Linked DNA regions of Mus musculus: all the other regions are reported to be linked to region 2. Evidence: microRNA targets listed by miRTarBase, many of them from high-throughput screens and not tested one by one. Region 2 holds a microRNA gene; each other region holds the end of a gene's coding sequence.

What was found. The annotated mature microRNA mmu-miR-466f-3p reads CAUACACACACACAUACACAC and lies in region 2 at 1,776-1,796, shown strand. An mRNA with a match to its seed (bases 2 to 7 or 8) in the 3' UTR can be bound and repressed. Matches are read on the target gene's strand: a 7mer-m8 pairs with bases 2 to 8, a 7mer-A1 pairs with bases 2 to 7 and ends in A, and an 8mer does both.
Region 1: miRTarBase lists Mrc2 as a target of mmu-miR-466f-3p. The part of its 3' UTR that is shown has no 7-base or 8-base seed match.
Region 3: miRTarBase lists Mfsd14a as a target of mmu-miR-466f-3p. Seed matches in the 3' UTR shown: 7mer-A1 at 2,333-2,339.
Region 4: the mRNA of Zgrf1 is a reported target of mmu-miR-466f-3p. The part of its 3' UTR that is shown has no 7-base or 8-base seed match.
Region 5: the mRNA of Spag7 is a reported target of mmu-miR-466f-3p. Seed matches in the 3' UTR shown: 7mer-m8 at 1,221-1,227.
Region 6: miRTarBase lists Grb2 as a target of mmu-miR-466f-3p. Seed matches in the 3' UTR shown: 7mer-A1 at 2,335-2,341 and 8mer at 2,299-2,306.

Annotation. Positions count from the first base shown.
Region 1 is chr11:105,349,053-105,354,121 of GRCm38, reverse strand. Mrc2 (mannose receptor, C type 2) reads right to left here. Exons shown (of 30, transcript NM_008626.3): 29 at 4,528-4,554; 30 at 2,977-4,423. The coding sequence ends at 4,197. Among named protein-coding and RNA genes, the nearest start is that of Mrc2, 59 kb to the right of the region's middle.
Region 2 is chr2:10,470,232-10,475,221 of GRCm38, forward strand. Mir466f-3 (microRNA 466f-3) reads left to right here and starts at 1,722; the gene lies at 1,722-1,815. All of the region lies in intron 10 of Sfmbt2 (Scm-like with four mbt domains 2), which reads left to right. It overlaps Mir669d-2 (microRNA 669d-2), which reads left to right and starts at 1,413; the gene lies at 1,413-1,498. It overlaps Mir297a-2 (microRNA 297a-2), which reads left to right and starts at 2,023; the gene lies at 2,023-2,112. It also overlaps Mir466o, Mir467c, Mir466b-1 and Mir669a-3.
Region 3 is chr3:116,628,643-116,633,711 of GRCm38, reverse strand. It overlaps Mfsd14a (major facilitator superfamily domain containing 14A), which reads left to right. Exons shown (of 12, transcript NM_008246.2): 12 at 1,232-2,548. The coding sequence ends at 1,438. It overlaps Sass6 (SAS-6 centriolar assembly protein), which reads right to left. Exons shown (of 17, transcript NM_028349.3): 17 at 2,726-5,004. The coding sequence ends at 4,898. Among named protein-coding and RNA genes, the nearest start is that of Trmt13, 17 kb to the right of the region's middle.
Region 4 is chr3:127,615,990-127,621,058 of GRCm38, forward strand. It overlaps Zgrf1 (zinc finger, GRF-type containing 1), which reads left to right. Exons shown (of 26, transcript NM_197997.2): 25 at 270-531; 26 at 678-2,034. The coding sequence ends at 814. Among named protein-coding and RNA genes, the nearest start is that of Gm40147, 10 kb to the right of the region's middle.
Region 5 is chr11:70,660,034-70,665,102 of GRCm38, reverse strand. Spag7 (sperm associated antigen 7) reads left to right here. Exons shown (of 7, transcript NM_172561.3): 3 at 27-115; 4 at 236-320; 5 at 436-525; 6 at 627-783; 7 at 883-1,334. The coding sequence ends at 992. It overlaps Eno3 (enolase 3, beta muscle), which reads right to left. Exons shown (of 12, transcript NM_001136062.2): 7 at 4,221-4,443; 8 at 3,909-4,106; 9 at 3,513-3,714; 10 at 3,033-3,141; 11 at 2,831-2,889; 12 at 2,590-2,740. The coding sequence ends at 2,671. Among named protein-coding and RNA genes, the nearest start is that of Eno3, 5.4 kb to the right of the region's middle.
Region 6 is chr11:115,641,871-115,646,939 of GRCm38, forward strand. It overlaps Grb2 (growth factor receptor bound protein 2), which reads right to left. Exons shown (of 6, transcript NM_008163.4): 5 at 4,840-5,008; 6 at 2,175-4,084. The coding sequence ends at 3,899. Among named protein-coding and RNA genes, the nearest start is that of Slc25a19, 16 kb to the left of the region's middle.

The sequences.
Region 1 (5,069 bases), not on the chromosome of region 2:
GTGTCTACACACACACGCACACACACACGCACACACACAGCTGGACACCCCACAGTAACAGAGGGCCAGGTGTCTCCCCTATGGACAGCTAGACACCCCACAGACCTCAGGGGTGTCTGGAAGTAAGACAGTATGGATGGAACTAGAAAAGTGTCACTGCCTGGGATCCCCAGAAAAGCCACCAGCCAACTGATAAATTCAGTATTTGGCTTCTCTGAATACATGGCCTTGAACCTTGGTGCCTGGCAGTTGCTCAGACCTCTTTCTAGTGTCTGTAACTACTTGCTTTTCAGACAAGGAAGGGTTAAAGCCAGCCCCTCCCCTTTGATGCAATGGAGCTGATTCTGATGGGAGCCAAAGACTGAAGTCAGCAGTTCCCTGAGGCCTCTTGGCAACACCCTCCTAAGGAAAGTCAGGCCTGCGGGAAGATCTGGGCACTTTCTTCTCATGCTGGACCCTCTTCAATCCCTCATTTGTCCTCTTCTGACTTCCCTGAGTGTCTCCTTTCTGCCTTCCCTCACGATGCTAGTTCTTTACCTCAGGTCTGCCAGAGACTCCTGCCCCACTGGTCCAGGCAGCTTGACCAGGTTTGGGCGGCTCTGTTCCAGGATAGCCATGTGGTGAGGCTGGCTGGCTCCTTGCCCCTGTGGCCTCAGAGAGCTGCCCACTGGGCCAGGCCTGCTCTGCCAGGGTACCTGGGAGGAGGCCATCTCTGCTTTGATAGGAGATAGGGGAATGCTGTTCTCTGGAGAGCTGCCCTGTCTTCCCATTCATTCATGGATTCATTGAGCTGTCACTGAATATTCAGGTGCTCGAAGCTGGGCCAGTTCAGACCTGCAAGGGAAAGCTGGGCTCCGTGCCTGGTAGACAGTGCCCTTCGCTCAGGCCTGGGACAGGTCTCAGGCCATCTGCCACTCAGCAGGCTCCGCAGAGAACCTGGCACACAGAAGAGATGCTTCGTGGTCAACTGAACTGAGCCCCACCAGAAGATAGAAGTCCTTGTCACATGTTCTAAAACTAGAACTGGCTGGGAGCCAGAGGGCAAGTGGCCAGGTCCAGAGCCTTCTTCCTGACCACTCAGAGAACTACGGGAACATTCCCTAACTCTTCTGCAGGAAGGCTTAGAACATACTCTCTGGGGAGCCCCCAGGCCTAAGAGGCTGTAGGACAAACTTGGATTGAATGTGGCCTCTGGCAAGACTCCAGTCACCAGAGAAAGAAAAGGAAAAATTAACTTGTCAAGGTTTGGGGAGTCAATTCATGCTTGCCCTGGAAGGGTGAGGGCCTGGGTTCGAATCCTCAGCACCCACATAAAACCCAGGAGCAGCAGCTGCCTATGCTCGTAACTCTTGGGGGTACAGATAGGTAGATTTCTGGGGCTGCTGGGGTCAGTAGGCTTGCTTACCCAGTCAGCTGCTGGCATGCACATGCTCTCTCTCTCTCTCTCTCTCTCTCTCTCTCTCTCTCTCTCTCTGTCTCTCTCTCAAATAGATGGGTGGCACTGGACATTTGGAGCCTCATTCCTTCAACTACTCAAATGACCCAATAGAGCTCACACTGCTTTTTACCACGCTGCTTCCTTCTCTCTCAGGGCAATGGTCACTGGCATCCCTGCCCTCAGAGCCGCTCCCAGCAGCCTGAAGAGCAACCCTTGAGCCACAGCTAGTAGCAAAGCACTCGACTCACAAAGGGGCTACTCTGGCCTCTGTTTGGAGAGCAAATCACTTGAAGGTAAAGTGGGTTAATCATTAAGGACCTTACTTTGGATTGACGGTCCCTTCCGTCCCTTCCGGAATGCCTGGCCTACCTATCTCCCATGGGTCTTGTGAGAGCTGCAGAGTAGGGACAGCTGGAGGAGCCCACACACACACACACACACACACACACACACACACACACTCAGGAATGCAGCTCACGGACTCTCTAGAGTTCTTCTGTCTTGGGCGGTCCCACCCATTCATCCTGCACATCTGATCCCGGCAGAAAGCAGCTGATCTGCTGTCCCCCTGGGCAATCCAGATCCCATGTTTCCTAGTGGCTTCCCCCAGCCTGAATCAAACATTGGAAAGAGACTCGGAAAACCATCATGGCAGGAGCGTCCAGGGTGGATGGGCAAGGGAAGGAGCGAGAACATTCAATGGGTGTCTTTATGTATTCTTTTCACTCCTTTAGGCTCTGAACCACATGACCACACTGCCTATCCAAAACAAGTAGAACTAAGATTTTAAAAGTCCTGGACAGGGTAAGCCTGAGAACGCACAACGCCTCTAAACCACCGCTAGTGTTCCAGGCCAAACCAGCCACCATCTTCTGAGGTCTTAATGATTGCAAGGGCTTCCTCTGCTTCCCCTCCCCCATCTCCCATCCATTGTCTGTGTCCCTTACCGCGGTTACAATGAACTTGTTAAAGATCAGATCAGCCATTCCCACTGGCAGCCTTCCTTACAGTATCCACCATGCCACTGCGTCCTGGCCTGCACCCACTCAGCCACACTCCTGCAGTCACCCTGTCGGTCCTCTGAGACATTAGGGACCCTCTGCTCCCACTCTGGTCCAGGTATTCATATTGCTCACCCTACACACACACACGCACACACACACACACACACACACACACACACACACACACACACACAATGTAATAAAAAAAAACTTTAGAAATAAGAGTAGCAGTTAGCATTTATGGAGTGCTTACTGCATGCACTCAGAGGCACTTGGTAAGGACACTCACCACATCCTTAAGCATCTTTCCGACAGCCCAACCCTAGGAGATCCTCTACGCCCTATTCAAGCTGATGGGACAATGAGCTCAGGTGCCCAAGTTCACACGCTTGTAGGCAGGGACGACTTGTCTCCTGAGGAGAGCCAAAAGCTCAGAGGCAAAATGGCAGGCTACAGAAACAACTGGACAGAGCTGCCATCTGTCCCTACAGGGCTGCGGGGGTCAGACTCTGCAGAGAAGGAGGCACAAACGCTGACTTCTCAAGCCTCTGGAAGGTTTTTATTTGTTTGCTATTCTTTTTCTCTTTTTCCTTCTTTAAAAAAAAAAAAAAAAAGACAAACAATAATAGCACATTTCGAGAATCAAGAACTACAATAGAGGGTCCGCTTTGAGTTTTTGTTCACATCGTCCTGCACTGGGACACGGGGACTGGCACTCTCCATCCTGGCTGGGACTCTCCTCTGGAAAAAGGTGCTGAGTGGTTCCATGAGTTGGTCTCCTAGGCCACACCAGATGGTAGCACCTGGTGCTGTCCCAGGTTACAGCCTCACCAGCGCCCCTCCCCCTCCAAACCATCTTCCCTCTCTCCAAGCCAGAGCCAGAAGCCGGAGACATTAGGGAACTTATTTTGGTCCCCACAGGGGACTCTTTCAAGGACAGAGCCCTCCCCTGACCAGCAGGAGATGACACCCTGTGAGTGGATAAGGTGTCTCTCCGAAGTTCCATCTCTACTCCAGCAGACACCACACCGGTGCCCTGGTTTGTACACCTGAGCCACCTAGGCTCCCTCCTGCCATACCCTAGGTCCATTCCAGCAGGCACAGGAGTGACAGATGCTTGGCCAGCCTCTTCAGCTGACCCCCACCCAGAGAGAAAGAGAGAGAGAATGAGAGAGAGAGAGAGAGAGAGAGAGAGAGAGATCACCCAAGTCCCAGGGCCATGGCTCAGAAGGAGGCACTGGGTGGAAAAAAAGGCACGAGGGCAGGGTGAGGAGACAGAGCTGATGTAGCCGAGTAGGAGAGGTGACAGAGAGCCACCCCAAGGGACGGGGCAGGCTTTCCAGGCCTACAGATAGGAAAGAATCCTAGGCTGCAGGTCAGCAGGTTTAGGCTCAGGGATCTGGGGAGGAAAAGACATGAATAAGCTCATGTCCCTTCTCATATTGCCTCCAGTTGCCATGGGGTCCAGGTCCAGGTGACACGATCCCAGGCCCAAGGGAAAGGGGAACATGACCCACTGCCAAGTCTCAGCCTAGCCTCTATGGTAGGCTGGGTACTCCCACCCCATGGCAAGCTATGCCCCCGGCACCCAGTAGCAACTCCCAAGGGTTGCCATCCAAAGACAACTGGGCTGATGGGTGATGGGGGCCTGCTGACCTGGGGCCCCTGCCTTACCCGCTCTGGCTCCACCCCGACCACGCCCTTGGGGCCCCTGCCTCCCCCGCTTTGGCTCCACCCCGACCACGCCCTTGGCTCTATTCTTGCTGTTCGTTCATTTCCATGTCAGACACCAGAATGTTCTTCTCGGTGGCCTCTGCGGGGCCAGAGTGGCTGCTGCGACTGTAGCGGGCCCCCTCGAAGGACCCACGCTCCGCACTCTGTCGGCGCCGGTAGAGGATGAGGGCTGCCGTCATCAAGGCCAGGAGGAGCAGCACCGCTGTCAGCACCACCACCAGGGCAACCGGGCTCTCGGGGAGGGCTGCTGAGATGGAGGTGGGGAGTTCACATCAGGCCCCAGTCATGACCACAGGGACAGAGGAGCCAGCGAAAGAACCAGGCCGGGGCTCGCTCATTCCCTCCACTCACCTGATGGCAAGAAGCTGTTCTCTTCCACTGTAGGAGAGGAGAGAGCCAGAGAATCACAATCAGTCCTCACAGAAATCATAGTCACAATTTAAATAAGTGCCTGTGAACTGCTTTGTGAATGTCACCTTGCAGAGTCACTGAACCTCCCAGGACTCTAGGACCTGGCTTCTACTATTTCCGTTCTATATATGAGGAAGCTGATGGGACAGGTGTGTGTGTGTCTATGTATGTGTTCTTATAGGTGAATATAAGCAGATACTTGTGAGTGTGCATGTGCGTAGAGGTCAGAGGTCAAGGTTATTGCACTGTGTCTTCCTTGATGCCTCTCTACCTCGGTGTTTTGAGGCAGGGTCTACCACTGAACCTACAACGTATGGATTCAGCTCATGGCTGGTGAATGAGCTCCAGGGGCCTATAAAACACAAATACACGTCTCCCTTTCTGTCTTAGGGTTACAGGTGATGGCACTCAATGTTGGGATTTTATTGGGGTGCTGGGAATCTTAACTCGGATCCTGGTGCTTGCGTGACTTTACCAAATGG
Region 2 (4,990 bases):
GTGTTCATGTGTATATGTGTATATGAATATACATATACATACACACAAACATACATGCATGCATGGACACACACACACATGAATGGCACTCATTGATCCATTTGTATGATATATAATTTAGAGCTTTAAATATTATGTAGTACTGGGTCAGTAATAGTCTCACTCATAAGGTAAAAACACTTGCCAGAGTCAGGTGAAGAGAGAGTTCAAATACAAAATTTACTTCATGAAGAGATAGAAATCAGACTGGGATGTTTCTTATGTATGTGCATGTGTGCATATATGTATGTGTGCATGTTAATATATGCATATAAATATACACATATAAACTAACCAACACAACATGCACACACACAGAGACACACACAAATACACACACACACACACAAACTCAAAATTGATACTCATCTATCCATTTGAATGATATGTAACTTAATGTTTTAGAGCTATGTATAAATGGGTCAAGGAGAAGTCTCACTCACTAGGTGAAACACTTGCCAGAGTCAGGAGGATCAGGAGTTCAAATTCATGCTTAATTTCACAACGATTTAGAGATCAGTATGCAATTGATGTGATGCACACCAAGAATGTGCATGTGTTAGAGTTGTGTGCATATTCACTTCTCTATATGAATATGCATATACACACATGCACACACAGTAATGCCACTCATATATCCTTTGAAATGATATGTGCCATAGAGCTTTAGCGCTTATGCGGTAGTGATCCAGAGCTATGTCTCAGTTAGGAGGTGAAACGCTTGCCAGAGTCTGGAGGATCTGGAGTTCAAATTCATGTTTAACTTCATGATGAGTTAGAGTTCATCATGCGATTCATGTGATGCCCAACAAGAATGTGCATGTGTGTATAGCTGTGTGCATATTCACTTCTCTATATGAATATGCACATACACGCAAGCACACACAGGAATGGCACTCATATATCCTTTTGAATGGTATGTGACTTAGAACTTTAGAGCTTATGCAGTACTGATCAAGAGCTATGTCTCAGTTAGGAGGTTAAGTACTCTTGCCAGAGTCAGGAGGATGAGGAGTTCAAATTCATATTAAATTCATGATGAGGTAGCAATCAGTCTGGGATTCATGTGATGTCCCCCGTTTATGTGCATGTGTGCAGAAGTGTATGCATGTACATGTGTTTATGTGAATATACATATACATACACACATATACACACACATGCAAACATACATGTAGGAATGGTACTCATCGATGCATTTTAATGATATGTGACTTAGACCTTTGGAGATTATGTATGACAGGGCCAGTGTCAATTCTCACACACCTGGTGAAAACCCTTGTTAGAGTCAGGAGGTATAGGAGTTGAAAATCATGCTTAACTTCATGAGGAGTAAGAGATCATCCTGGATTCATGTGATGCCCCCTATATATGTGCATGTGTGTATACTTGTGTGTGCATGTATATGTGTCTATATGAATATACATATACATACACACCCATATACACACGCATGCACGGAAACACAAAAACATAAACATAAACACAGGAATGGCACTCATTGATCCATTTGAATGATATGTGACTTAGAGTCTTATAGATTATGCAGTAGTGTGTCAATGAACGGTCTCACTCACCAGGTGAAAGTTGTTGACAGAGTCAGGAGGATCAGGAGTTCATATTCATGCTCAATTTCAGTTAGTGATCATCCAGACATTCATGTTATGCCCCTCATGTATGTGCATGTGTGTTTACGTGTGTGTGCATGTGCATGTGTGTATATGAATATATGTATACATACACACACACATACACACGCACGCAACACACACACACACACACACACACGACACTCATTTATTCATTTGAATGATATGTGACTTAGAGTTTTAGAGATTATGTAGTACTGGGCCAGTGAGTGCTCTCACTCACAAGGTGGAAATCTTGCCAGAGTCAGGAGGATCAGGAGTCGAAATTCATTCTCAACTTCATGTTGAGTCCGGGATCAGCTTCTGATTCATGTGATGCCCCCAGTGTATGTGCCTGTGTGTATATGTATGTGTGCATGTGCATGTGTGTATATGAGTATACATATACATACGCACATACCCATACAAGCATGCACACAAACCCAAAACTGCCACTCATCGATCTATTTGAATGATATGTGTCTTAGAGTCTTAGAGATTCTGTATGACTGGGCCAGGGAGAGGATTCACTCACCAAGTAAAGACCCTTGCCAGAGTCAAGATAATCAGGAGTTCAAGGTCATGGTAAAGGCATGATGAGTTAGAGGTCATCCTGGCATTCATGTGATTGCCCCTATGTATGTGTGTATGTGTTGATGTGTGTGTACATGTACATGTGTGAATATGATATACATACATGCACACATAAGACACATATGAGCACATAGACACACAGGAATGGCACTCACTCATCAATCTATGTGACTGAGAGCTTTGGAGATTATGTGTGACTAGGTCAGGGAGAGTTATCACCCATCATATTAAAAATGCTTGTTAGAATCAGGAGGTCAGGAGGTCAAATTCATGCTTTATTTCATGATGACTTAGAAATCTGCCTGGGATTCATGTGATGCCCCCATGTATGTGTACATGCGTGTACCTGTGTGTGGATTGTGTATATGAATATACATATCTACACACGCATAGACATGTACACAGACACACAAACATGAATGCAACTCATCGATCCATTTGAATGACGTGTGACTAAGAGTTTTAAGATTCTGCAGTACTGAATAGGGAGAGGTCTCACTCAGCAGGTGAAATCCCTTGCCAGAGTCAGGTGGTCCTGGAGTACAAATTCATGTTTAACTTCATGATGAGTTAGAGTTCAGCATGCGACTCATGTGATGTCCATCAAGAATGTGCATGTGTGTATAGTTGTGTGCATATTCACTTCTCTATATGAATATGCATATACACGCATGCACGCACAGGAATGCCACTCATATATCCTTTTGAATGGTATGTGACTTAGAGCTTTAGAGCTTATGCAGTACTGGGCCAGAGCTATGGCTCAGTTAGGAGGTGAGTACTCTTGCCAGAGTCAGGAGGATGAGGAGTTCAAAATCATATTTAATTCATGATGAGTAGAGATCAGCATGCGATTCATGTGATGCCCTCCAAGAATGTGCATGTGTGTATAGCTGTGTGCATATTCACTTCTCTACATGAATATGCACATAGCTGTATGCACACATACTCACAGGAATGGCCAGAACTATGTCTCAGTTAGGAGGTGAATATTGTTGCCAGAGGGAGGAGAATATGGAGTTCAAATTCATGTTTAACTTCATGATGAGTTAGAGAACAGCCTGGAATTTCTGTGATTGTCCCCGTGTATGTGTATATGTGTATAGGTACGTGTGCATGTAAATGTGGGTATATGAACATGCATATATATATATATATATATATGTGTATATATATATATATATATACATACATACATACACATATACACACACATATGGACACATACATGTGCACACAAACACACATGGTAGTCATCCATTTGATTTATGCATGCTTAGAGTTTCATTGAGTGTATATTCATGGGATAGCAAAACATCTCACTTACCAGATGAAAACTGCTTGCCAGAGTTAGGAGTCTCAGGAGTGCAAATTCATGCTTAACTTCATGAGCAGTTAGAGATCATCCTGGAATAATGTGATGGCCCCTATGCATGTGCCTTTGTGCATAAGTGCGTGCATGTATATGTGTGTATATTTTATGCATATACATACACACACCTATACACACATGCACACAGACATGCGAGAATGGCCCTCACGGATCCATTTGAATGATATGTGACCTACTGCTTTGGAGGTTATGTATGACTGGGCCAGGGTGAGGTCTCACAAACCACGGGAAAACCCTTGGTAGAGTCGGGAAGATCAGGAGTGCAAGTTCATGGTAAAGGCATGATGAGTTAGAGGTCATCCTGGCATTCATGTGATTGCCCCTATGAATGTGTGTATGTGTTGATGTGTGTGTACATGTACATGTGTGAATATGATATACATATACATACACGCACACATAAGACACATATGAGCACACAGACACATGGGAATGGCACTCATCAATCCATTTGAGTGATAAGTGACTTAGAGTGAAAATGCTTGCTAGAGTTAAGAGTATCAGGAGTTCAAATTCATACTTATCCTCATGAGAGATCAGCCTGTGATTCCTCCATGTATGTGCATGTGTGTATAGTTGTGTGTGCATGTTCATGTCTATATTTGAATATACATAACATACACACACATGTATAAACGCAAGCACACATACACAGACACAGGAATGGCATTCGCCAATCCCTTTGAATGATAAGTGATGTAGAGTTTTAGAGATTATGCAATAGGGGACATTGAATGGACTCACTCACCAGGTGTAAAAGATTGACAAAGTCAGGAGGATAAGGATTGCAACTTCATGCTTAACTTCATTTGGAGATTATCTTGGTATTCATGTGATGCCACCCATGTATGTGCATGTGTGCTTACTTGTATGTGCATTGCATGTGTTGACATGAATATACATAACAAAAACACACGTGTATATGCAAGCACATACACACAGGAAAAATTGCATTCATTTATACATTTGAATGATATGTGACTTAAAGTTTTCAAGATTATGCAGTAGTGGGACAGTGAATGGTTTTACTCACCAGGTGTGAAAGACTGTGGATCAGGAGTTCAAATTCATGCTTTACTTCATGATGACTTAGAGATATGCCTGGGATTCATGTGATGCCCCCTATGTATCCCTATCTGTATCTGTTTCTATTGTGTGTGGATTTGAGTATATGGCTGTACCTATCTACACAAATATATACATGTACACAGACACAAACAGAAACACACACACAAACATCAGTGCAACTCATCGATCCATTTGAATGACGTGTGACTTAGAGTTTTAAGATTCCTCAGTACTGAATGGGGAGAGGTCTCACTCAGCAGGAGAAATC
Region 3 (5,069 bases), not on the chromosome of region 2:
ATTCACATACTCTATTTATTTGGCTGGATTAAAGGATATTTTTGAAAACAAAAGCTTTTGTGTAAAACTTTCTAGCATGAATAGGCCTTAAGTAATCTTAAAAACTAAAGCCTGGGGCTGGAGAGGTGGCTCAGTGGTTAAGAGCACTGACTGCTCTTCCGAAGGTCCTGAGTTCAATTCCCAGCAACCACAGTGGCTTACAACCATCTGTAATGAGATCTGATACCCTCTTTTTTGGGGTATCTGAAGATAGCTACAGTACTTACATATAATAATGAATAAATCTTAAAAAAAAAAATAACTAAAGCCTAAGAGACTATTCTTCCCGAGTATCATCTTGCAAAAACTAAAATGAAAAAATCACCTGAAACCACATTTTGTCAATTTGTGCCTAATGGCATGGCAGCCACATCTCCATTCCACCCTGCTACTTTCTTTCCTTCTGACTTCTGGAGTGCTGGGCAGCTGCCATCTATGGCCACATGGAATGTACGCACGGTGGACATTTGTTGACTTGCTTGCTTTATTTCCCAACTGAAATTACCAACCCCAAACCACATGGACCACTGAGCCAATACTAACATCTCTGCAGTTTTCTCGATTAAGCAAGAATTGAACCCCAGGCAAGCCTATTTAATTTTGTGGGCCATATACAACAGAAACAGGGTTTCTGTAGGGTTTTGCCCACAATGAATATGATTTGGGCTAAAATGTTTTATTTTTGTGGTTAGTGGCATTGTATTTATTTTTGAAACACGATTCTACAGGTGTATTATTAACATGTGTAGTTTAGGCTCTGTGCTAAAAGCCACCCACAGTTATCCAAGTTACTTTGCCAGTTTTTGATTTTTGTTTTTAAAGGTTTGAGTACACATTGTTGTCCTCAGACACACCAGAAGAGGGCATCAGATCCCATTACAGATGGTTGTTAGCCACCATGTGGTTGCCTGTAATTGAACTCAGGACCTCTGGAAGAGCAGTCAGCGCTCTTAACCACTGAACTATCTTTCCAGCCCACTTTGCCATTTTTTTGTTGGCAGGATTTTACAATAAGAATAAAAATACCTTTTCTCCTGAAAAGTGATTTTATAGCTATTGCTTCAATAAAGGCATTGACTTTAAAAAAAAAAAAAGAAAATCTGAGCAGACAGTTGCTGAGACATTGGAGGCTGGGGACGGGGGCTGGGGGGAGTATTTGTGCAAAAAACATTAACTATTGTTTCTTCCTCAGAATTCCATCATCCCTGGTCCCCCTTTCCTCTTTGGAGCCTGTTCGGTACTGCTGGCTCTGCTCGTTGCCTTGTTTATTCCGGAACACACTAATTTAAGTTTAAGGTCCAGCAGTTGGAGGAAGCACTGTGGCAGTCACAGCCATCCTCACAGTACACAAGCGCCAGGAGAGGCCAAAGAACCTTTACTCCAGGACACGAATGTGTGACGGAAATCAGGAAGACTTCTCTCTCTCGCAGCACCCAGGTCTTAGTTTTCACCTGTAGCTCTGGATGTACATTCCATTTCCATCTGCAGTGTACTTTAAGACTGTCTTAAGAAATACTTGCATGAACTCCGTGGGAACTAAAGAAAGAACCGGACAGTTTTCCAAAGATGTTACACTTTCTTTCAAAAAGAAACCTTTTGTTTATATTAGCACCACTCTCTTGCCACTAAACTGTTTTATTACACATCTTTAATTAAAGCTCTATCTGTAACTCCGTCTCTGCCATTTCCTTAGGTGTTGAGCCTTTACCTGCTCGTGCTGACTCAGCGACACTAGGCAGGATGGTTATGGACCTGTTTGCTTTAACCTTGTAAAACCTGAGTCATTGTAAAATCTTGGGTCAAATAATTCAAAGCCTTAATGCAGATGCACTAGAAAAGAAATGGTAAAGAATTGTTTGCATTTAAAAGAACTTGTGAAAATTGTAGAAAACCAGAATCATGTTTCAAGCTTGTTTGCCATAATTTTATTTAAAGCATTATTCACGGCTGTTCTGAAGAATGAAAAGATCAGCCACTTAGAATTCAAATTGGGGTGGTCAGAGCCTAGCCATCTGGCTCAATCTGTTTAAATCTGTTCTGCTTCTTATACCACTATTCTTTTGATATTTGCATAATCATAAGGACCTCAACACTTGAATACATAATCTAAAAATTATATAGTAAAGCTGGTAGCCTTGAAAATGTCAATGTGATATCTATATGTAGATAAATATATATAGTGGCCTTTCAGGACTGTCACAGTAACACTTTATTTACAGAGCTAATGTTTGTCCTAAATTTTCAGGACCCTAGAAGAGAGCTTTATACAATTACTGATGTGAATTTCTCTAAAGTGTATATTTTTGTGTCCAGTTATATTATTTAAAAAAGTGTTACTTTGTAAAAATGTACATAAAGTATTGTATAGTTTACACTGTTTTCATCTTGTGTGTGGTTACTGCCTAATGCTTTTTAAACTTGGAGCATTCACTATGATTAAATAAGGTCTCAAATGTAAATATTCTGTTAATAAAATTAAATATTTTAATGATTTTTTTCTTTTTAAAAAGGTCTTGATCTGTGAGTCCCTCCCTGTAAGGCCGGTTTAGGCTTTGTTACAGTAACAAATCCTCTTACCTTAACTTACCTTCTGCAATCCATTTGCTGCCCTCACCTCACCTCACCAAAAACAAAACAAAAAGCCTGAAGATAAAAATAACGAAGTGTGTAGGTCAACCGGAAATGCTTGATTTCCTAAGCACAGTTAGTCTTTTATTTCCTAAACATGCTTCTTGCATATAAAACGCTCAAGCCTCAGTGCTTTATTGACAAAGGTCACAGCTTTCAGAAATAGCAAAAAGCAACATTCTGATGGTTAACACATGTACAGTTATACAACACAAAACAATTTCAGACAAAAGCAGAAGAGGTAGAGCAGAGAGTTGGCGCTATCTGTGTGTGTGGACACTTAGCACAGAGACAGGTCACCAACACCCTGCGTGGAAATGAGCTGTCCTATCGTGGAAACAGGTTTATAAATAGTAAGGGGAGGGTATCTCTTCTAAAAAGCTATATATGTCTTGTATCCCTTTCCAAAGGCTGCCATAGCTCTTAGGTTTATTCTATAGTATTTACAACAGTCCTGTGCTGCATAGAGAGACTTCTTTCCAGAATAAGTGCTTTCAAGTAGTTATAGCAATATTCTTCCCATCACTGAACTGTGATAACAGCCCTCGTTGAAGACAGCTAGCAATAGCCATCATCCTGAAAGTGAGGCTAAAGATTCTACGTCACTGTCTCAAAATGTCTGCAACAGTGTAAAGTACTTGAAAAAAAATGTGTATAAATGTTTTGCCTAGAAACCACATGCATGCCTGATGCACTCTGGGTGACAAAATTGTGAGCTGTCATGTGGGTGCTGGGATTAGAACCCACATCCTCTGAAAAGAGTAGCTAGTGCCGATCATCACTAAGCCATCTCTTCAGCCCCTTGAAACTTAAAATATCACATGATTGTTAACATTTTACAGATAAGATTTTTGGGGTCTTGGAATTTTAATTTCCTTTGGGTGGTTGTCAACAAGAAAACAAAATTAGACCTCTAAGATTATAGAGGGTTGTTTTTGGTTTTTTGTTTCATTTTGTTTTTTAAAACTACTTAATTTCAAAGGAATAGTTCTTGGAAGTTTTTAATAGTGAGGAAGTTGTAATTTCCAATAGTTAACTCTCCTCCTGCTTTATTAACACTGATGACAAATTTTAATATTATAAAAAGTCCCATGAACTTTTATGGTGTTATTACACTGATGATCTTTATGGAATGCCCAGATGACTAAAGCACTTCAGTCATGTAAATACACTGTCCCAATGATTTTTATATAAAAATTATTTCAGAGAAAATGATTTACTCACTATGAATACTTAATTTCACTCAAAATCCTTAAGAGTGTCACTAGGTACATCAACCAAACTCCAAATGCCCATACCCAGGACTTGACTAGCACAAGGTCGAATACACTGTTTTGGGTTTGATTTTTTTTTTGGGGGGGGGGAAGGGGGTTCGAGACAGGGTCTCTCTGTACAGCCCTGGCTGTCCTGGAACTCACTCTGTAGACCAGGCTGGCCTCCAACTCAGAAATCCGCCTGCCTCTGCCTCCCGAGTGCTGGGATTAAAGGCGTGCGCCACCACTGCCCGGCTGGTTTGATATTTTTATCTTACTGATTGGTTATTTTTATTTTCTTTTTTAAGGGAGAAAGAACATAAAATTGGGTGGGTAGGAAACTGGAGACCATCTGGGAGGAGAAATTATAAACCAAATATATTGTGTAACTCAGGCTTGGTGGGTACACAGCTTTAGTCCTAGGTCTTGGGACACAGAGGCAGGTGGATCTGGGTTTGAGGCCAGCCTGGTCTACATACATAGCCAGTTCCAGGACAGCTTGAACTACATAATAATAGACCCTGTCTCAAAAAAAAAAAAAAAAAAAAAACTTTGAAAGTTGTATGAGAACTGAATGTAAAGTCAATGTAAGGCTCAATGGTCACAGGTGGAAGCTCTCCCAGCTCTCAGGTGGCAGATTAAGATTTTTTTTTTTTTACAATAAAAATGATCGAATGAATCACAAGTCTTCAGTTTATATTCCCTGCAGGTGTATCTTGATAAAGTGTCCCTAAGCAGACCAACTGGTAAGAATCTGATACAATCCAGTGACTTTTTGAAACATTCTGTTTTGTTCACAGAAAAAAAAATACCATTTACTCAGCATCCTTATCAATTTCCTAAATTTGTAAATGGCAGCAGTATTATAAAGGATCCAAATGACCTAACAGGAACCAGAAAAAAATTGATTTTGTTATCAATAGTCTGTTAAATCACTTGAATTCCTAAACTGTCGGTGAGCAGTAAAAGGTGTTGGATTAACTACTTGGTAACTGCCCAGGGAAGTAGGCTGAAGACGAGGAGGGGAGAACGGTGGGTTTGGAAGATAGCTGGAACGCTCCCAGCATGCCGTCTTTCTGATGGTCTGCAAGAGACAAAGCACGTAGCATGTCACTGCTTTAAGCACATGTAATGATCCACACTGTACCA
Region 4 (5,069 bases), not on the chromosome of region 2:
AGTATTTTTTATTTTTCATTATTAGCTACTTATCTGCTCAAATTAGCATATACCAGTAAAATCCCTGCAATAGGTTAATCACTTTTGATTATTCATCACAAATAATATTGTCATTTCCAATTTTAGATACTTTCTACCTAAATCCATGTGAGTCATAAGAAAGAAAGAAAAATATTCCTGAATTTACTCCTGAATGGTTGAACTGCCCAGTTTAGAGATGGAGTTTTTCCTGATTTCTGCATTTTCTGACCCTGTTTGTTTGTCTGCAGATTTGCAATTTACTCAGTGCTGTGGACGTCGGCCATCCTGATGTTAAAGCTGTGCAGGTGTCCACAGTGGATGCCTTTCAGGGTGCCGAGAAGGAAATCACTATTCTGTCCTGCGTGAGGACAAGACAAGTAGGGTTCATTGACTCAGAGAAACGAATGAACGTTGCTTTGACCAGAGGAAGGAGACACTTATTGATTGTAGGAAGTTTGTCCTGTTTGAGGAAAAATCGACTATGGGGGCGTGTGATCCAACACTGTGAAGGTAAAAAAAAAATGCAATTAAAACTGACTCAGGGGCGATTTGTAAGGAATCACTGGGCCCATGGCCCCTTGGGAGATGCCAGAGGGGACAGTAATGTGGAAGCCCCTTTTGGTAAGGAACGATTCCCGTGTTCTGTATCTTTTCAGGAAGGGAAGACGGATTGCAGCATGCAAGCCAGTGTGAACCACAGCTGGACCATCTTCTTAAAGACTATTTAGAAAAACAAGCAGAAGAAAAACAGAAAAAAAAGGAGAAAGAGAAATCAAAGGATAAATCTCATTAACAACGACAACAAATCTGGGCAAGGGTGTTTCTATTGTAAATTCAGAATCTTTTTGTACTTATTCTTAATGTTTTTCTTTACTCTAAAGTCCCTGATACAAACAAGTTTCATTACTTAAAATAATGTACTGAATAAGTGCATGCGAAAATGTGCTCTTTAAGGTGTGCTATACATTAAGATAGGCAATTGCAGATGCTTGTGTGACAGGCAGATATTTTGCTTGTGAAAGTAACAAGTTTTACAAGAGGCTGGAAACCATTCCTGAGATTATCTGTATGCATAAAAAACACACAACTGAGTAAAAAACAAAAAAACATAAAAAACCCAAAAGTCTGCGTGCTGAGCACAGCTCCCACAGTGGATTCTTCTGACAGACTGGAACCCGTGCATCGCCCCACCATTTTACAGCTAAAACTACTGATAATAAAAAGCTAAATAAAGAAGCACGAGAGGAAAGGTGGACACAGCACTGTCCTTTGCACTGCTGCTCGGTAAGTCAGGTTTCTTCACATCTCCTTGGACAGAACTTACTAGTATATATGTAGTAGAATAAATGGATAAAGTCCTTTTTATTCTAAAGCTAACATGTTCTTATAGAAAAATATACAAAATACAGATTATATAAAAGAAACCAAAGTTACTTAGAAATCCACTATTCAGATAATCATTAACATATTCAGTCTTTTTCTGTATATTCTCTCTATAAATATATACATGTAAGTTTTGAACCACTTGAGTCTACACGATTCTTAGGTATTGTTAATAAAGGAATATATTCATATCCAGGTAGAAAAAAATGTCAGTCTTAATCCTAATTGGTATTATTTTTAGCAAGGAAAACATTTAGGGACAACCCAAGTCATTTAGTATTTATTCTGAGAATCATTTTAGAAATTATTTTAAGAGTACTGAAAATTGTGTCCCCAGATTTCCTTGTAATAAAAACTTCCCAGTCTAGGGCTGGCAGGATGGCGAGGTAAGCAGAAGCACTTTGCTGCCAAGCCTGACAACCTGAGTTCAGCCCTGGATCCCCCACATGGTACATAGCAGGGCAAGCTGATCCCTGCAGGTTATCCTCAGACTCCACACATGCAGTGGCTCACAGCGCCCATCCTTCACAATATGCTAAATTAGTATAGTTTTAAAATGGTTATTTATGGTTATTTATTTATAGTTATAACGGTTATTTACTTATTAAAAAATGATAACTGTCTCTGGAATTCTTATGTGGAAAAAAAAGGTAATTCCAACCACACTTGTGGTAGAGCAGTGGGGTGTGTGTGTGTGTGTGTGTGTGTGTGTGTGTGTGTGTGTGTATGTAGGGGGTAAGGACCACCATGTATGTCCTTTGGTTGGTGATTCAGTCTCTGGGAGCCCCCAGGACTTAGGTTGGTTGACTCTGTTGGTCTTTTTATGGAGTTCCTATCCCCTCTATGTCCCTCAATTCTCCCCCCCCCCCACACTCTTCCATAAGACTCCCCAAGCTCTGTCCAATGTTTGGCTGAGGGTCTCTGCATCCATTTCATTTAGATGCTGGGTGGAGCCTCTTAGAGGACCAGGTATGGGGAGAGATGAGGAGAGAGGACAAGGAGAATAAATGGAAATTGACAGCCTGAGGGTGGGGGCACCTCTAGGACATACGAGAGACCTGGGATCCAGGAGTCTATGAGGATGACTCTAGCTGAGACTCCTGGCAGTGGGTGATATGAAACAAAGTGCAGGCACAAAGATGGAACAGAGACTGAGAGAATGGCCAACCAATAACTGGCCCAAGTTGAGACCCATCCCATGGGCAAGAACCAATCCCTGACACTGTTAATGATACTTGGTAATGCTTGCAGACAGGAGCCTAGAATAAATCTCTTCTCTTCTCTTCTCTTCTCTTCTCTTCTCTTCTCTTCTCTTCTCTTCTCTTCTCTTCTCTTCTTGTCTCTTCTCGTCTCGTCTCGTCTCGTCTCTTCTCTTCTCTTCTCCCCTCCCCTCTCCTCTCCCCTCCCTTTTCCCTTCTCTCCTCCCCTCCCTTCCCCTCCTCTCCCCTCCCCTCCCCTCCTCTACTCTTCTCACCTTTCTTCTTTGTTTATTTTGGGTTTGTTCTTTTTTCCTTTCTTTTTATTTATTTATTTATTTATTTATTTTTTTGACATAGGGTTTCTCTGTGTAGCCCTAGCTGTCCTAGAACTCACTCTGTAGACCGGGCTGGCCTCAAACTCAAGAGCTCTACCTGCCTCTGCATGTCTGTCTTTTAATTTTTCAGTTGTTTATTTTTATGTACATGATGGTTTTGTTTTCATGTATGTCTGAATACCACTAAAACCAAGACTATAAAATAAAGAAACAATGTGAAAGCTGTAAGAAAAGCACCAACTCCCAGAGGGGAGCTCTTGTTCTTGCGAAGTACCCAGGGTTTGATTTCCTAGCACCCACATCACTTCCTCAGGCACCAGGCATGCATGTGGTACAGACAAAGCAGTCATACACATAAATATAAACAAACAAACAAAACATAAAGTTTCTAGGAATAAACTTAAGGATAGAACATTGCGATGAAAATTTTACAACACAAGAGGAAAGAATTTGAAGACTCAAGACAGGAAAATCCCCTATGCTGATAGGGTAGCAGAATCAATATTTTTTTAAAGATTTATTTATCATTATATGTAAGTACACTGTAGCTGTCTTCAAGTCAGATCTCATGGATGGTTGTGAGCCACCATGTGGTTGTTGGAATTTGAACCTTCAGAAGAACAGCCAGTGCTCTTAACCACTGAGCCATCTCACTAGCCCCTAGAACTAATATTATAAAAAGGCTTGTCAGTGCAATCCTTATAAAAAAAAATTCCAGTGACATTCTTTAGAGAGTCTGAAAGAGCAATCCTAAAATCAGTATAAGACCACAAGAAAGAACAACAGAAACAACAAAAAGCCAAAACAGTCTTAGTAGAAATCTTGGTTCTGGAAGTACTGCAATCTCTGAGTTAAAAATATACCATAGACCACAGTAACAAAACTATACGGCACAAAACCAGACATGAAAATCAGTGGATTTCTATAGAGGACCCAGAAATATACCCATATGGTTCCAGCCAACATAACAAAGGTTCAAAAATATATATGAGAGGAAAGAGTTTGCTCAATAAATGTGCCGGGAAAGTGGATATTGATCTGCAGAAGAATAAAACTTGATCCATATCTCACCCTATACTCAAACCAACTTTTAAAAATGAATCAGAACTGGAGAGATGGCTCAACAGTTAAGAGCTCTGACTGCTCTGAGGACCTGAAGTCAATTCCCAACTACACATGGTGGCTCACAACCATCTCTACCATTACAGATGCCCTTTTCTTCTGTGTCTGAAGACAGCTGCAATGTACTCACATACATTCAATAAATAAATAAATCTTTTTTAAAAAGTGGATTAAACATATATGTATAAGACCAGAAACTACTAAAGGAAATTATCAGAATATAGGAAGGACTCTCTGAAAATGACCCCAATTAACTCAGAAATAATTGCAAGAACTGACAATGCAAGATCTGAAATTAAAATGCTTAAGCAAGGCAAAGGAAGCAATGAACAGAGTGAAGAAACAACCTACAGAGTAGGAAAAGCCCTGCCTGCCTCACATCTGTTAGGTCAATCTCCAGAATCTATAAAGAAGTAAAAACGACAAGCCAGCAAGGTGGCTCAGTGGGTAAGGTGCTGGCCACCTATCCTACATGAAGAAAGAAGCAACCCAACTCCCACAACTGACCTCTGACCTCCATATGCATGCTGTGACACCCACTCCTCTCCAAAACACCAAACATAACCTAATAGGACTTACAAAAAAGCCAACTCATTTAATGAAGAAATAAATTGGATAATTCTCAAAGGAAGAAAAACAAATGGCCAGTAAATGCATTTCAAAATGTTCAGCATCCTTAGACATGAATAAAACGCAAAGTAAATTAACATTTAGAGTTCAGCTTCCTCCAATCATTGTCTATCATTAAAAAAAAAATCCAAAAAACAACAATAACAATAAGAAACAAAATAACAAGTGCTGAAGAGCCCCTGTACAATTCTTTTCTTTTTTGAGATGGAGTGGGTTTCTTTGTGTAGCCCTGGCTGCCGGAACTTGCTCTCTGTAGACCAGGCTGGCCTTGAACTCACAGAATCTGGCTGCCTCTGCCTTCCTAGTGCTGGGATTAAAGTAGTGCTCCATAACTCCCTAGCAGAGCCCCTGTACACTTCTGGTGGGAATATAAATGAAT
Region 5 (5,069 bases), not on the chromosome of region 2:
TGTCCTTCCCCTTTGTTTCTCCTAAGATGGAGAAAGAGGTGTCTGATTTCATCCAGGACAGTGGACAGGTCAAGAAAAAGTTTCAGCCTATGAACAAGATAGAGCGGAGCATACTGTGAGTGTCTCTGGGTTGGGGTGGCAAGAAATGGGCAATAGAGGGCGTGAATGAGCCAGTGGGGACCAGTGGAGATCAGACTCCTCATGGCTCACTTACTCTCCTGCCTTCTCTTTACAGACATGATGTGGTAGAGGTGGCTGGCCTCACATCCTTCTCCTTTGGAGAAGATGATGACTGTCGCTATGTCATGATCTTCAAAAAGGTAAAAAGCCTGCCGCCGCCACCCCCTGCCCCCGCCCCAGCCTATCCCTGCACCTGAGAGGAGTGGCATCCCTCATATATTTGGATCTTGACTCTACCTTTCTCTTCATCTCCAGGAGTTTGCACCCTCAGATGAAGAGCTAGACTCCTACCGTCATGGAGAGGAGTGGGACCCCCAGAAGGCTGAGGAGAAGCGGAAGCTAAAGGTGAGCTGTTCCTGGCAGGCCCTGGAGCCCGTAACCATCACCTGGAAGAGGCCATCTGGGTCAGGGCCTTGAGCACCGGTACCCTACCTCTGTGCCCTTAGGAGCTGGCTCAGAAGCAGGAGGAAGAGGCAGCGCAGCAGGGACCTGCGGTTGTGAGTCCTGCCAGCGACTACAAGGACAAGTATAGCCATCTTATTGGCAAAGGAGCAGCCAAAGATGCAGCCCACATGCTACAGGCCAACAAGACCTATGGCTGTGGTGAGCCATGGCAGGAGCTGGGGGAGGGATGGGGGAGAACGTAGTTTGGGGGAGGGGAGCAGAGACTGAGGTCTTGCCCACTCTCCCCTCTGCTGCTAGTTCCTGTGGCCAACAAGCGGGACACACGGTCCATAGAGGAGGCCATGAATGAGATCAGAGCCAAGAAACGCCTGCGGCAGAGTGGTGAAGAGTTGCCAACTACCTCCTAGGCATCCCGCCCACCTTGCTTTGACCTCCAGCAAGGCAGGGGCATGGAGGGACAAGGCTGCTGCTATCAGGACCCATTCTGGAGCCCCATTTCTAACCTATGAGGCCCTGCCAGCTGTCACTCAGGCTGGAGGAGAAGCAAGTGTTTATCACTGCTGGAATTTGGATGTATGGGGTGTGTGTGTGTGTGTGTGTGTGTGTGTGTGTGTGTGTGTGTGTGTGTGTAAAAATGTGTATTTAATCTGTATTATTCTCTATTACCCTTGGAACTTTCTTCCCCGTGGGCCTGGGTTACTTTACATTGAATAAACACTGTTTGACCCAGTGTTCTGACTTGTACCTGGAAATGTGGATACTAGTCCATTGATGGCGCACACCTTTAATCCTAACACTTGGGAGGCAAAGCCAGGTAGATCTCTGTGAGTTCGAGGCCAGCCTGATCTACAGAGAAAGTTCTAGGACAGCCAGGGCTACACAGAGAAACCTTTTCTAGAGAGGGGGAGAGGGAGAGGGAGAGGGAGAGGGAGAGGGAGAGAGAGAGAGAGAGAGAGAGAAGAAATTGTGGGTATTACCTCCATAAATGTGGATTCAACAGTATAACGTTGCTGTTTGTTTAAGCTAAAGATGGCCAATTATTAGCACTGCTACTGTGACACTTTCACATATTTTATTCTTGTGATACTAGATTGAACTCAGGGCCTCATGCCTACTGGGCACTCACCGGGAAGCCAGCACGATGTTTCTTTTTTTAGATTATGTGTATGAATGTTTTACCTGCATGCAAGGATCTGCACCGTGTGCGTGCCTGGTGCCCGTGGTGCTCTGGAGAGGGCATTGGAGCCCCTAGAACTGTAGTTACCAATGGTTGTGAGCTGCCATTGGTGCTGGGAACTGAAGCCTGGTGCCGGTAAGAGCAACAAATGCCCCTAACCACTGAAGCCCCTAAGCTTGGAATCTTGAGACGGGCCCTTACTCCATCTCCCAAGGCCTAAGATTACGGATATAAGCCACCACACCCAGTTAAGGCTGAAGCCAGGCATTTTGTGTCCTAGCTTTTCGAGTTGCTAACTCTGCTGTGTTGAGTAAGATACTCAACTCGTGCCTTGGCTTCCTGGTGTGTAAAAGGGGGATAGATTGGTAAATGGCTGACAGGACTGTTTGAAAGCTTCTGTGGGTTAATACTGTCAAGTATTTTGAACACTTCAGATCCTCACAAGCTCCACTGAAGTGGTAATGATCTCATTATCCTTTAATCCTTGAGAAGCACTCAGTCTGGCTGCAGCCTGATCCAGATCCCTCCAATGCTGGGAGCACCAGGACCCTTCCTCGGCCCCTCTCCATCCACCGCTGTCTACTTGGGAGCCACTTCCACCTCCTCTCCAGCTCCTTTTCACATACAGTTTTGCTTTCTCTAGCTTCATTCCAAACTTTGAAAGTCTCTATTCTACATCCACTGAGCTTTCAAATCCCTTACTTCCTTGTCACAGCAGGTCACATGATATTCTCTGCCTTCTTCCCTGTCTCCCACCCCCACCCCACCCCAGCCCTGTCCTTCCTGGCGAGCTTGTCATTCATTCCCTCCTAAGGAACACAGCATGGTCTGGTTTGGCAGTGTTTATTTCTGGGAGAAGGGCTTGAAGGCCTGTGTCTTTCCTGTGAAAGCCTGGAGTCTCCAGCTCCTCATTTGGCCTTTGGATTACGGAACTTTCTTCCAGCAAAGACAGCTTTGTCCCCAAGAGCCTCCTCAATCCTACAATACAAAAAGAAAATCAGAGCTCCTACTTTCTAACCCAGGAGCGCCTTCCTCTCCCCACGGTCTAGGCCTCTGCACAAATTGTACCTCATAAGCTGGTTGTATTTTGCCAGACGCTCTGAACGGCAGGGAGCACCAGTCTTGATCTGAGGTGGGAAAAGGGTTTGGAGGGGTTGGTTTGGGCCCCAAAAGAGCAGGCTGTAGTGGTATCCAACTTAGATGGCCCAAGTGATACCAAGGTGACCAAGGAAACTTGGTTAGATACTCAGTAGAGAGAAACCCCGAGTACCTGTCCTGTGCAGAGTCCCACCACAAGGTCAGCGATGAAAGTGTCTTCGGTCTCCCCAGAGCGGTGGCTCACCATCACTCCCCAGCCATTAGATTGTGCAAGTTTACAGCTGTGTGGGAAAGGCATTTGATGAGACCTTATGTGACCACCTCAATAAGAAAGTCAGGGGCAGGCAAGATAGAACTTTCCCTTTGTTTGGGCAGTGACTAAGTTCTTTGGGAAGGAGGAGAGATTTCTGATCTTGGATTAGAGTGGTCAGAAGATGGCAAGCAGAAGAACACAAAACAGAAGGGAGGTTAAGGGACATGGCAGAGCCACAATGGCAAAAGTCTTAGAGCCAAGTTGGGGGTCAGTCATAGCCTAGGGGTTCTGAGGCTTGAGTAGGTCAGGGGCCCTGGGAAAGGCACCCATGGAAGAGCAGCAGCAGTGGCTGGAGCCGGGGGGGGGGGGGGGGGGGGGCCTGAGTCAGGAGGCACTCACGCCTGGATGGACTCCGTCACGGAGCCGATCTGGTTGACCTTCAGGAGCAGGCAATTGCAGGCCTTCTTCTCCACAGCCTGAGCAATCCTCTTGGGGTTGGTTACCGTGAGGTCATCTCCCACAATCTGGATGTCCACCCCAGAGAGGAATGAGGTCCATGTGGCCCAGTCATCCTGGTCAAAGGGGTCCTCAATGGAGACCACTGGTAGGGAGTTGGGAGCACAGATGGGGTTAGAGACAGGGGCCTGATAGAGGGGTGACAGGTAGCAGAGGTTAAATGGAGGCTACGGATGAGCTAAAGATGGGAAGGACAGGAATTGTGACAAAGCCAAATGCTGAGAGCCATGCTAGGTAACCGCAGAAGACAAGGGCGGGGGGAGCACCCGGCCGTCTCACCGGGATAGTTCTGGATGAAGTTCTTGTACAGCTCCCCAAGCTTCTCCCCACTGATGTGCCTGGCAGGGTCATCGGGTGACTTGAAGTCCAGATCATACTTGCCGTTGCGGTAGAATTCAGACGCAGCTACATCCATGCCGATCACCACCTTGTCCGGGTAACCGGCTGCCTGGATGGCTGTCTTTAGCAGCTCCAGGGCTGGGAGAGGAGCAAGAGATGACCTGAGACTCCAGTATGGCTGTATCTGCAGCCTCTCTTTCCCCCCACCTCAGGGGCACTCAGGCACTCTGCCCCAGGATGTTCAGCACTGACCCTCATTGTTCTCCAGGATGTTGGGTGCAAAGCCACCCTCATCCCCCACGTTGGTGGCGTCCTTCCCATACTTGGCCTTGATGACCCCCTTGAGGTGGTGGTAGACCTCAGCGCCGATGCGCATGGCTTCCTTGAAAGAGCTGGCTCCCACTGGCAGAATCATGAACTCCTGCATGGCCAGCTTGTTTCCAGCATGAGAGCCGCCGTTGATCACATTAAAGGCCTGGGACACAGAAGTTGGTGCTCAGAGCTGGGTGGCATAGGGGTCAAAGGTGAGAGGGAACTGGAGGTGACAGCTGCGCTCTGCTCCCTAGTTCAATGGTCTAGGATGCAGCACTGCACTCCTAAGAGCCTTTCTCTCTTTCTACAAAATGCTAACAGTGCTTACTTCCCTACTGCTCTGACAGTTAAGGGAAATCAAATATACTTATGACAAGGAATAATTCTATGGCATTCTAAATGCATGACTTGTTTCACTCTCAAAATACTTCTATTAACTGTACACTCTTTTTTTGTTGCGTTTGTTTGTTTGTTGTTTGTTTTTGTTTTTTCGAGACAGGGTTTCTCTGTGTATCCCTGGCTGGCCTCGAACTCAGAAATCCGCCTGCCTCTGCCTCCTGAGTGCTGGGATTAAAGGCGTGCGCCAGCACTGCCCGGCTTAACTGTACACTCTTATTTCTTCTTTACAGATGAAAAAAGTGAGGGACAGAGGTTAAATAACTTGCCTAAAATCACACAACTAGAAAATGGGAAAGGCCAGGGTCTGAACCCAGCCAGGTATCTCCAGTATGGTAACATATTCCGGCCCACGCAGAGCTGCAAGAATGGAAGTGACGGGGACAGCAAGGG
Region 6 (5,069 bases), not on the chromosome of region 2:
CTTAATAGACAAGGTCTCACTGTGTAGCTCTGCCTGGCCTGGAGATGGATAACAGGGAGCAGGCTGGACTTGAACTCAGAGATCCCATCTGCCTTTTCTCCAGAGTACTGTGCTCCAAGGTGTGTCATGCCTGGCAGTCACACGCACACGCGCACACACACACAGTGTCATAGTGTATAAAAGTCAGAGGCCAACATTCCCACCTTCCATCAGATGGCTCTGAGGGTTTGGTAGCAAGTCCCTTCTACCTGCTGCTCGGCCAACTCGACTGGGTTTAATTAATTTTAAGTGGGCTGGCCAAACCCCAGTACTCAGAGTCATCAGCACATGGGACTGTCATGTCAACCATCAACAATGTCCTCCTCCCTTAAACTTTGTCACAGACAATGGAGCTCTCAGTTCTGTAGCCCAGAGGGACCTGGGATGCAACCTGATCCTCCTGCCTCAGCCTCTGGAGTGCTGGGTTACAGGTGTGAACAGCCATTCCCTGTTTTGCTTAGGTTTGTGATGGTAACTACCACAGAGAGGCTGAAGAGACCCCAGAACTCCACACTGGGCTTCATGGTATAGGCCGTGAACATGGTCTTGGCTCTTAGGAGGTGGAGGCAGTTCCCAGGACCTGCATGGCAGCTTACAACCTTCTGTAACTCCAGTTTTAGGTCTGATCCTGTAGGGCACCATACTCACATAGTACACAGACATATATTTAAACACTCATACACATAAAATAAAAAATGTTTAAGAATCTCCAAAATTTTGAAAACAAAACCAAATAAACAAAAAAACAGATCCAGGGCTGGAGAGATGGCTCAGCGGTTAAGAGCACTGACTGCTCTTCCAGAGGTTCTGAGTTCAATTCCCAGCAACCACATGGTGGCTCACAGCCATCTGATGCCCTCTTCTGGTGTGTCTGAAGACAGTGACAGTGTACTCATATACATAAACAAATCAACCTTTAAAAACAAAAAACAAAAAAAAAAAAAAACATTGGGTCTGAAGGCCATCTAGCCCATAAGCAGGCCCAGGAATGGTGTCAAGAGGAGACAGCTGGCTGGTGCTGTCAGATGACCTAAACCAATGTAGCTGTCCATCCTAGCATTTCCGATCTCACTCTGCACCTGGCTCCTGGTGCTCGATGAAGTCTTGGGACCAGGAGGGAGCAGCAGGGCCACTATGATGGGCCAGGTTGGCTAGTGGTATCCTCAAGGTTTTGCATAGCCTAGCCTTTATCATGAGACACATTTGAGCTGGCCCTGGGCACACATACACAGCCTGGATAACTCACCAGGAATCTGACCCAGGGGAGGGGCAGGACACACACTGTGATCACCTGAAGAACAAAGAGGGGGCTCAAGGAGAGTGTGCTTGTTAGCAAGTGTAAAACACTGGGTTCTCAGCACTGGGGAAAAAATGACACCCCCCCCCCCAATCAGGAAGGGGTTAAACTGACACAAAGGGAGTTCAAAGTCAGCCCAAGCTCTCTGCTCAGCTGGCCCAGACAAGCACAGCTCCCTCTCACATGCACATCACCGCAACGGGGAGGAGCAGGTGGCACCCGGGAGCCTCCTAGCCACCAGTTCAGGTGGTTTGCTCGGCAGAATCCTCTTTTGTTCAAGCCTCAACCCTTACCGCGTCATAGCCAGCACCGTGTGGTTACCAACTTTGTCTCACCCAAAAGACCACTGTCACGGCTGTGTCATGTAGCTGCCTCACCGACTTCCTCAGAGATTAGCCTTTCCACACCCTCAGCTCGGAAGGGAAGAGGAGCTTTCCAGCCCAGCTCTGGGTTCTTCTGAGTTCTTGTCTAAACCATTTTCCACATAATGAGCTACATCACTCGTCCTAGGTTCACAGGGTCTGGAGATGCCGGCCAGAGTTAACATACTCTAAGCCTTTACTTTCAACATTTGGGAGCAGAGGCAGGAGAATCTCTGCGAATTTGAGGCCAGCCAGGGCAACATAGTGAGACCCCATCTATAAAATAAAATCAGGACGGGCAGTGATCCCAGCACTTGGGAGGCTGAGATGGGCGGATTTCTGAGTTCAAGGTTACCCTGGTCTACAGAGTGAGTTCTGGGACAGCCAGGGCTACACAGAGAAACCCTGCCTTGAAAAAAATAAATAAATAAAAAAATAAACTGAAAACACCATCAGGGAGAAATGAAGACACACAGTTAAGAACTCATTGTACGTTTATTCACAGTTAATCACTACCTACCAAATTGCTGTCCGCAGAAGTCAGAGTAAGTACATAGTTGGTTTTTTTTTTTTTTTTATTTAAACACTGATCTTTAAATATATACACACAAAACTTAGTTCAGCAAGGCTTCATGATATACACCAATTCCAAAATAAAACAATCACATGGCCCAGGTGTGACTCCAGAGATTACTTTATCATCAGCAGGGAGAGCAGCAGCGGAACCAGGAGAGGTGGGGACCCAGAAGGCCGCCTCCGAGCCTTAGGGGCGCCCTGAGCTGAGTCCATCTCACAATGCTAAGTCCAGGGGAGACTCTACCCGCAAGAGTCTAGCAGCCCATGGATGCACCGACTCCAAGGGAAGGCCTGGGTGGAGCCCTGCTTCTGCTGTGGGAAGGAGGCAGGGTGGAGAGAACGGTGTGCAGGCACGTGACTACAGAGGACGGAAAACTCACAGAAGACAAGAGTTAAAAAGCTGTGCACTGGTCTTGGTCTCTCCTACCTCGAAAGGCTTTGTGGGATGGAGGGGTGGGGTGGGGGGAGGGGCAGCACAACCCACTGCCAAGAGAGATGCGGCCGACCCCACAATCCTGCTATCTGCACCCTTGGACAGGTGGGGAAATACGAGCGTGAAAAATGAAAGGCCAATTCTCTTCAAGCCCATCTGCATGTAGGCCTATAAGAGTGAAGGATGCCAGGGCTCCTCTGACCGTCTTGTGTTTGGATCAGTAGCTCCAGGCATAGAGAGAGCAGACCATAACTGAGACACGGAGACAGAGACTCTGATGTCCACTGAGTCTGAGCTGAAGCGAGTGTTGCAGCTCACAAAGTAAAAGCTGAGGCTTCGAGACCTCCGGCCCATTCAAGATGGGAAATACACTCTCTGCTTCTACCAGCTCCTTTCTCTGTCCTCTTTCCCCTGCCCTGAGAGGAAAATATTTACACAGGATAGGAGACGAATCAACTGAAAAGCTCTGGACTGTCTTTAACTTATTAAAAAAAAAAATGGTACAAATACCATTTATGAACACCCTTGAAATAAGACAAAGGCACTATTTAAAAAAAACAAACAAACAAACAAAAAAACGTCAAAACACCTGAAGGGAAGCAGTGGGAGAGGGGAGGGCCTGCAGTCTGACTCTCAGGAGACCGGGGAGGACAGTGGGCCTCCTTCCCCTAATTCCAACTTTGATGGAATGCTCCAGGCCTGAGGCTGGAGGCGGTACCCCTGGGCATCTCGGGTGAACCCCAACCAGGGCCCCAGAAGCACTGGCTGCCCCTGTGTGTGAGGAATCCGGCTCTTTCAGTCCATCCATCTCCACAGACATTTTGCATAGAGAAAATACCAGCCCACTTGGTTTCTTGTCTTTTATTATTGGCATCAGCTGGACTATATGTGGCCTTAAACATCATGCACTGGACAGGAAAGAAAGAACGAGAAAAAGGACACAGGAGGGGAACAGGGGTAGCGGCGAGATTCCGTAATAAAAACTGTAATTCATTCAATAGGTTAAGTTTTGGCATTATGAAATCAAACACCCCTCCCCACCCCCCAAAGTTGCAACCCAATGAGAGGGTCACCCGTGGGACCCAGCCAGGTGTTCTGCGTTCCCTCACAGGCTGTGACAGGCAGCGTGTGGGTGTAATTCTTGTGAACGGTCTTAACTTTTCACTTTCTTTAAATAATCTCTTTTGCTTCTTAGACGTTCCGGTTCACTGGGGTGACATAATTGCGGGGAAACATGCCGGTCTGCCCGTGGCAGGCCCCTTTCCACCAATTGGGATCTGAGTTATCCATGACATGAATGAAGTCTCCTCTGCGAAAGCCCAGCTCGCCATCCTCCTGGGGGTCAAAGTCAAAGAGCGCCTGGACGTAGGTTGGCTGCTGCAAGAGAGAGCAGGGAAGCGGTGTTTCTCATGCTGCCAGGCGGCCTTGGAAGCTGGACTCCTGGCTCCCCCAGGGAGGGCAAGCATGTGGGAACCCGCCCACTTTCCAAAGAAGCCTCATACCTCACTCCCTCCGCTCTGACACACTCCTAAGTCCTAGGTGGGATTAGAGGAATCCTTTATTAACATTTAAAACCCACAAGGGTATATATACCCATGTCACTAAGAATAGCCAATACTGGCTAGTGGGGAGCAGCAAACACTTTGGGCTGTGTGTGCCAGAGCTCTCTTAACAGGTTTTTTTTTTTTTTTTTAAAAAAAAAGATTTTATTTATTGTTATATGTAAGTACACTGTAGCTGTCTTCAGACACACCAGAAGAGGGCATCAGATCTCATTACAGATGGTTGTGAGCCACCATGTGGTTGCTGGGATTTGATCTCAGGACCTTTGGAAGAACAGTCAGTGCTCTTACCCGCTGAGCCATCTCTCCAGCCCCTCTTAACAGGTTTGAACACACTCTCAGCATTCCCTCACTCGGGCTGTAAACGAGGCAGTCCTAACCAGAACTCCTGCTCATACGTGAGGAGGACTGAGTGCATCCCTCACAGGCTGGCTGCACAGGGACTCAACCACCTGAGTGCCAACTGCAGAGCCTCACTGCCATGAGGTCGGCCTGAGCACACAGGAAGTCGCTGTGGTGTCACGCCTGGGCCTTCACACTTGCTGGAAGTGAGTAAAGCTCTTTGCTTACCTGTGGCATCTGTTCTATGTCCCGTAAGAATATCTGCTGGTTCCTGGACACGGATGTTGATCTGTGGTAATCTACCAGCTCATTCAAAGAATTAAACTTCACCACCCACAGGAAATACTTCCCGGCTCCGTCGCGGAGCACCTTGAAGTGCTGCACATCATTTCCAAACCTGAGGATGGGGAGAAAAACCATGAAGCGGCCACAGGGCTCTGCAGGGCTGCCTCAAACCT